2 linked regions of the Xenopus tropicalis genome follow. The main gene of each other region encodes a partner of the protein of the gene in region 2 in a complex. Links are inferred from orthologs where the notes say so. Each region holds a gene or a part of one and is shown on either strand. Other genes may lie near its edges. The genes, in order: arl6 and bbs7.

The links.
Region 1: the proteins of bbs7 (region 2) and arl6 are in contact, whole or in part, in a cryo-EM structure (PDB 6VBV), measured with the Bos taurus proteins. The link is inferred for Xenopus tropicalis from reciprocal best matches to the Homo sapiens genes BBS7 and ARL6. Residues at the interface, in NP_001178275.2 of Bos taurus: Leu3, Ile249, Val250, Gly251, Asp300, Gly301, Tyr302, Asp303, Thr319, Glu320, Pro321, His323, Lys324, Glu325, Ser326, Gly327, Pro328; in NP_001069250.1 of Bos taurus: Met132, Asp133, Arg135, Thr139, Ser140, Val141, Ser144, Trp157, His158, Ile159, Cys160, Ala161, Asp163, Lys166.

What each region holds. Positions count from the first base shown.
Region 1 is NC_030678.2:20,788,668-20,793,129, reverse strand, and holds the start of arl6 (ADP-ribosylation factor-like protein 6), read left to right. Parts: upstream 1-1,414; 5' UTR 1,415-1,568; intron 1,569-4,462. UniProt on the Homo sapiens protein: Involved in membrane protein trafficking at the base of the ciliary organelle. Mediates recruitment onto plasma membrane of the BBSome complex which would constitute a coat complex required for sorting of specific membrane proteins to the primary cilia.
Region 2 is NC_030677.2:66,817,310-66,820,377, reverse strand, and holds part of bbs7 (Bardet-Biedl syndrome 7 protein), read right to left. Parts: intron 2,695-3,068; coding exon 2,530-2,694; intron 1,509-2,529; coding exon 1,399-1,508; intron 162-1,398; coding exon 58-161; intron 1-57.

The sequences.
Region 1 (4,462 bases), on a different chromosome or scaffold from region 2:
TATGCAGAGGTAGTAGCTAGGAGCCCTACAGCCAACGGTGGTTCAGGGGTAAGTACTGCCTGAGCCTTTGTCTTAACTGTGGTCCCTATAGCAAGGCATACAGAGCCTGGGGTAGGCTAAACCCTTAGAGTCTCCTATGGTGGGGCTAATGGCTGCCCTTTCTAGATAAAGCTGACTATGCTCACTTCTCCTAGAGAGTGCTATTAAAGGAGAAGGAAAGGCAAAATCTAATAAGCACACTATTAAAAAGTAATACTATTGCTGCGTAAAATCGCTATATTCCTGGCTTGCCTAATGAAAGATTTACAAAGATACACATACTTGAACTTACATGCTTGTTTCAGTGAACGGCGCCGCCATCTTAAGGTGGCCATACACGGACCGATTTTTTACTTACAAACGACCGATTCCCGAACGATCCGATGCTATCGTTAAGTTATCGTATAGTTGGTGGTGTACGAACGATCGTCGGCCCACTAAACGAGCCGACATTATCGTCCCCAAAATCGATCGGCCAGGTTTAAAAATTTTGGTCGTTTAAGGTTTTTTCTCTGTTTGGCTTCTGATCTTCTGAACGGGTGAAGTATGGGGAGACTTAAGGGCACTATTGAGAGAACTGAAGGTATGCCTGCAGCTTGAGATTAACTCTTTACTAGCCTTTCCTTCTCCTTTAAATGTGCTGCTGTGCTTTCTTATCCTCATTCACGGGGCCCTGTCCCCGACTTTAGTTGTTCCAGTAGTGTTACTGGGGCCTTGCTGCCTCCAGGCTCAGATGGAGCTCTGCTTGGGACAGAGGTAGGGGTAAAGCCATAGGGAGCTTGGCCCTATGGGTCCCTACAGTACACTACCCAGAATGCCATTGGACAGTATAGACAGAGGGTCCCTTTTCTATTCCTCTTTGTTGAACCTGAAGCAGCAAAACTACAAATAACCAGCATGGACTGGGCACACAGGGCAGGGAAACATCAGTCATCCCAGTAACTGGAAAGGGGGCACATTGCGCTATTTTCAAAGTGGCTAGTTGTGGGCTGATTTTTGAACTGATACCCAATCAGTGCCATTTTGGCGACAAAAACATTTTTTTAGTGGTACTTACTTGGAACTTGCACACTTCAGCATTAGGACCAGAATAACTAGGAATAAAGGACTACTCTCTAGCCCCTCTTGGCGCAAAATACACCCATCTGAGCCCACAATTGCTCTTTACTAAACTCTTATGGTTTCAGGTATAACGTAAATATATTTTTCCAGACAAAACTAGGAGCTGCAAGCAAAAGAAACAAAAATTGTTGGCAAACACCCGCCCGAAATACACTATCGCATGATATTAGCAAATAACCACAAAGTTCGCCACTAGCAAAGTGCGGCTCTGGGCGGCGTCACTGCGCTTATATACACGGTGCGTGACGTCACAATCTCGCGAGATGAGACCTGCGGGATTTGGATTAACTCGCCGGCCGGAGTTAGGGAGCTGGACCTTACCGGGGCTGAGGGACTTTTACACAGCGAGTCTGGACTGCGAGAAAATCGGGACAATTGGGCGGTATGCCATAGGCTTGTTATGGGCCGTATGTAATTGCTTAATTAATTGCTTAATTTTGTATGATTCCAGTATCATTTAGAAGGGTCAGTGAATATATAACATTTGGTGTAGCGTACTTAAATAGTGGGTAACCTTTAAATGAGATTGTAATATGCTGCAGGGAGTCTTCTTCTGAGACAAACTAGTGGTCTTCATTTTGTTGTGTTATTTTTTTTCAGAAGCTATGTGGTTGCTAAGCGTCCATGTTACCCTAGCAACTAGGCAGGGGTTCCAATGAGACACGGAGAGGGCCTGAATAGGAAGATAAATAACAATTACAATAAAGGTATATCTCCACAGGGCAGTAGTTTAAAAATAAATAGGATGTGTTTTACATAGGAAATAAATATTACTGGTGATGTTTTCCATAGCAACCAATTAGACATGTATGTATATCTTTATTTATAAAGCGCTACTTATGTACGCAGCGCTGTACAGTAGGATACATTAATACAAACAGGGGGTTAATAAGATAATAGATAAATACAAATTATAACAATAAATACAGATAAATACAGTTGCAATAAGTTAAGAGTCAAAGACACAAGAGGATGGAGGTCCCTGCCCCGTAGAGCTTACAATCTATATGGGAGGGTAACTTACAGACACAAATAGGCAAATATAAGTGCTGTAGGTCACAGTGGGTGACAGTACAATAAAAGTGCTGATTCCCAGATCATGGCCACCTACAAGAGAGAGGACAAAATTGGTTGCTATGGGCGGCATTACTGTTGGTATTTATCTCCAATGTTAATAAAACTGATCAAAAAATGCTGCGAATGGGACATTTGGTAACGGTGAGCGACCCTATAATTACAGTCACAGACTCCCAGGAAGTCCCATTTAAAAACTATTAACACCAAATGTGTTGCTTTGCTATTGGTAGATCCCTTTAGACCAGTGAGGACAGATGCCTGTATCCTTAGTGCTGGTTTATTTGTTTCCCCAGTAAAGACTTTATTCCCTCCGGGGCTGTGATTGTTTCCCTGCTTCATACAGTACAGCAATAAGGTGTGATATAAGGGGTTATTTACAAAGTGCATTAAAAGGGTTTCAAACTGCTATGTTTTTCGCACCCTGCCCTGCACTTTTTTTTAATTGAAGTTCCTGCGCTCCAGAGACCCGTGTTTGGCAGTGTTGTATTGTTGAGGAGCAGGGGCACTTACCCATTCCCTAACTTACACCTCATTCACACATGTAGGTACAGGCAGCAAAGGAGCCCTGTATGGCCATAGCTGCCATGCATCCACCTGCATTGCCCTCTGCACTTCGCTCTGGATTGAAATTTAGTGCTAAGTGCAGAGCAGCCAGACTCTGAACTCAAGTGCTAAATGAGGACTGATTTTGCACCTTTTAGTCAGGGTTGCCAGATTGGCGGTGTTCCCACCAAATGGGGCTACTAATTTAAAGCCCTGGTGGGTTTCCAATATACAAACCAGCCAAGGTACAGTTTTGGTCTATTTTTTGGAGCCTTGGCGGGTTTGTAATAATAATAATAATAATAGTTTGTAATTTGGAAACTAGCCGAAATTTTTGCCCCCTAGTGTGCCTGTTCCACTGCATGCTGGGTAATATAGTTTGTATCGAACAATTGGCCTACAGCTAGGATTAATATAGAACTACCATACCCAGCATGCAATTGGATAGTATAGACAGAGGCTCCCTTTTCTATTTCTTTTTTTTTTTTTCCTTTCAGGCTCAATCCGTCTATTCTACAACCAGCTCCCTGCTCTATAGGTTATGTGATTGTACTTTCTACTGTGATGTGGGAGCAGCTCTGCAGTTGGTCCTTAAAGAGATACTGACATCAGAAATGAAACTTTATGTTTATATTTATCACAACATTGTCTTTGCATGCTATTTATAATGTTGTCTTTAAAGCACTTGTCTGGTGCTTCTACATTACCTACATGATCTTCAATGTTCCTCTATGAGGGGGCTGCCATATTTGTGCAGCAGGAGTCCGATAGCATTAGAAGCTGGAACTGGTAAGCTGAAAAGGGACACAGTCTGGTTGGCAAAACAGTCAGGTTTAGGAACTTCAAGTAACAATTACTTACAGAAGCAGCCCTATCAGTGAAAAACGGTCAACATGATCTATATGTAACCTTTAATGTACATTAATATTTTGAAGAGTAGTTTTTAAGTGTCAGTATCACTTTAAGCTATAACTCTCAGGATATCTTGGGGCGGCTGAGAGTTGTAGTGCAATGCACCCATGTATATCATGTCTGGGGTTAATGCAACATTCAGAATCTATTTCTGTAGTGACTTCCCAGCTGGTCTGGGCACAGAGGGCAGGGAATTATCAGCCATCCCAGTACCTGGAAAGGGAGCACATGGCATGGGTAGTGCTTATAAGCTTTAAAAAGGCAGGGTTTCCCCATATATACTTTTATTTTCTTAGAATTTTTTTTCATTGCGCATATTGGACTATTTGTGGGCTACTTTCAAAGTGGCTTTTGGCTAGTTTTGGGCTGGTTTTAGAACTGACTTTGGCTAGTTTGGAAAAATAAATCTGCCTACCCTGCTTTTAGTGCTCCAGCAGTTGCATCAGGGGTCATAGTAAATATATAACCCTTATAATGTTTCACTAGTGGTGTAACAGTTCTTTGTGTGGCCACACATCAGAATTGTTCAGGGCACTCCCTAAACTTTGGAAATGAATCATATCAATACATAAAATGGTTAATTGGTCAGTCCGTTGTTTACTTTCCCTATATTTAGTTAGACACAAGCAATCCTGTGGGGGCGGAATACTTGTAACTGTCATATTTTGTCATAGCTGTGTCCTTGTGGCACCGTGTAGACTGGGCATTGTTCATTTGTGCATGAGTTAGTTGGTGTATGAGACATACCGACACTTGGGGGCAGATTTAT
Region 2 (3,068 bases):
TAGCTAATTAGCTAAAAGCTCACACAAGAAGAAATGCTCCTAACACATATTACCCACCTTCAGAGCATCAATTAATTGTACTTTTTTGGCTAAGAGCAATTGGTACTCCAGTTTTGGATGAATCAGTTTCAAAGTGTGCCCAACAGATTCTTCATTTATATCTGCACAAACCAAAAGAAGAAGTGAGGCAAAAGTTAGTTTTATATGATGACTGCAAAAGCTTGCTACACATGGAGGAACCGTAACATTCATTCTAGTAATTACTATCCAAACTGCATTAACATTCATTAACATTACCCTTGAGCTCAGGAAAAGTGAACAGCTCTTAAAAAATAATGTTAAAAGGCCATAACATAAATTTGTTTTCTTTTACATTATAAAGTTCTAGGTTTGTTTCTTAGCAGTAAAAGCCATGTTTTATACCAGAAGTGCCATTACTGACATTTTAACAATTTATCTTCCCTCAAAGGGGCAGTAAACACCTTGGCTTGAAAATAGCACAATAAATAAAACAGGGTAATATTTCAAAGGGAGATAATGAGCTTTGTATAAAAAAACCCCGCTAATACCTAAGCTGCAGCCTTTGTAATAAGGAATAGCTCATTTACAAAGGGAATCTGTATTACAGGACATGTAAAGTCTATTTTATGGAGGGGTTCCAAAATGTTAGGCCCCCTAAGTGAAATAGGTTGCTATATTATTTTCCCAGGTTGGTGCTCCTGTTAGAAGAGAATCTTAAAAGCCTGTGGAAAAAACTGTCTGAGCGCCATGCCGCCAATTTACTTACCATTTACCGGCCACTGCACTCAAATAAGAAAGTAAGGTAAGGAGATGCCGGTGCGGTGCTCAGACAGTTTTTTCTACAGGTTGGTGCAGTTCCCTCCAGGAGCACCAGCCTGGGGAAAAACTTAGCAACCTATTTCACTAATTTGAGAAACAAGTCAGTAGTATTAAAGGGATATAAATTCAAAAATAACATTTAACTGTTATTTTCAATATAATAATTTTCCAGTATACATTCATTAAAATATTTTAGTATTTTATATTTTTGATGAAACTAAATACTCTTTCAGATAAAATGAATATGGATTTGAAATATTTTCTTTTTACAATGAATATAATTTCTATTTTCTAATATATTTATAATAAGGCATCAACATTTCCTAACTAGATGGCACACATAACTGAACTACTTGAAATATCTCCAGACTCGGTAACAAACAGCTTGTGTTAGTCTGCAATACAAAGGTGGAGATATACTGCACTATAAAAGATTACAAAAAGTATATTAAGAAATAAATACTCACAAAAGTAATACATTTCAAGAACAAGAGCACTGAACAGTGGAATGTATGTTTGTATAAGGCTAGGTAAGGGAAAGTAAATTAGACAAAATACCATATGATATGTTGAGATTAATCTTTCTTTTAGTGGCTTCTTTTGACAGCACATCTTTCAGGATAGAAATTGTTGATATATTGTCAGATTTAAATAATCCTTCTCCCTTTCTGTGATAAAAAAAAAGAGGTGAGCATGAATGACAATGCTATATATATGTATAATATATTATATATAGGTTTCATTTCCTGTGGAAGTCCACAGAAGACATTTCAGTGACAACATATATATATTTTTTTAATGAACATAATATTTTGATGCTGCACAAGACCCACTGACTGAAGTACTTTTGTTTTAACAAGTTTTGATACAGGTATGGGTTCAGTTATCCAGACACAGTTATCCAGAAAGCTCCAAATTACAGGAAGGCCATCTCCCATAGACTCCATTTTAATCAAATGATCCAGATTTTTAAAAATGATTTCCTTTTTTTTTTTTGTAATAATAAAACAGTACATTGTACATGATCGTAATTAAGCTGCACTAATTCATATTGGAGGCAAAACAAACCTATTGGGTTTATTTAATGTTTAAATGATTTTTGTAGTAAGGTACAGAAATCCAAATTATGGAAATATCTGGAAAACCCCAGGTCCCAAACATTCCGGATAACAGGTCTCATACCTGTAAATGGATTGCACATTCTGGAACATTATATATAACAGTCCTGGTTATATTGACCACGAATAAGAAAAAATTGTATTTTTTCTAATTGTTAGACCTTTTCGTATTTACAACAATATCGTTAAAATAGTAAGACTTTTTCGTGGTTTTCGTTAAATTCCACAAAAACTTTGTATTTTTTGCAAAGACTACGACAATTTCGGAATTCATTTAAGCTTTGGTATTGTGACTTTTTTTTGGCCAGGTTGGAGCTGTAGAGTGTCATTGAGTCCTATGGGAGGCTTCCAAAATCATGCATTTAAGTTTTAAAGCCAGAAAGGATCTCGCACCTTTAACGATCGTTCGGATATGAACATTTTGTGACTTTCGGATCGCAACCACGATATTTTCGTATGACCAAAAAAAGAATTTTTGCACATTAGAAATTATTGTGGTTACTCCAAATTTTTTCCAATCGTGCTTTTAATTGGCGGAAATGATTCTGAAGAACCCAGTTTTACAATTTACCTGTATGTACATTCGAGCTGCGTTTCCAGAAAGGTATTCTTGAAGTAAAAGGTGACGTTCTCTCCCACTGGAGTTTTCTCAGGGACTTCAGGTAAACAAAATACAACCCAGGAATGCATGTCTGAAAAGCTGAACTGGCCAGTCAGGCTCACCGTGTTCATGGGCCTGAAATACATGCACATATCATTACTGTCAGTCTAGCATAACTCATACTCTCATCCACTTTTGGTCTGTTCCTTCATGAAGCTTTATTTATTTAATTTTAAATATATGTTCCCTTCCAAAATAGTAAATATATTTAAAGAACAATGAGCCAAAATAAAAGGTGGAGATGTTTGATAACATCAAACTTTAATAGATGATAAGTTCTGCCAGCCTGTGCTCTTCTTTATTAAAAAAAATCCTCTACCTGTCCTAATATTGTATCTGACTGTGTTGCCATATTAGTGAGTCAGGCATTGTTTAATTGCTCATACATGTGCAATACAGAGTCTAATGGGCTTAAGGGTGCTAATGTCACCTTCCTAAAGATCCAAGAA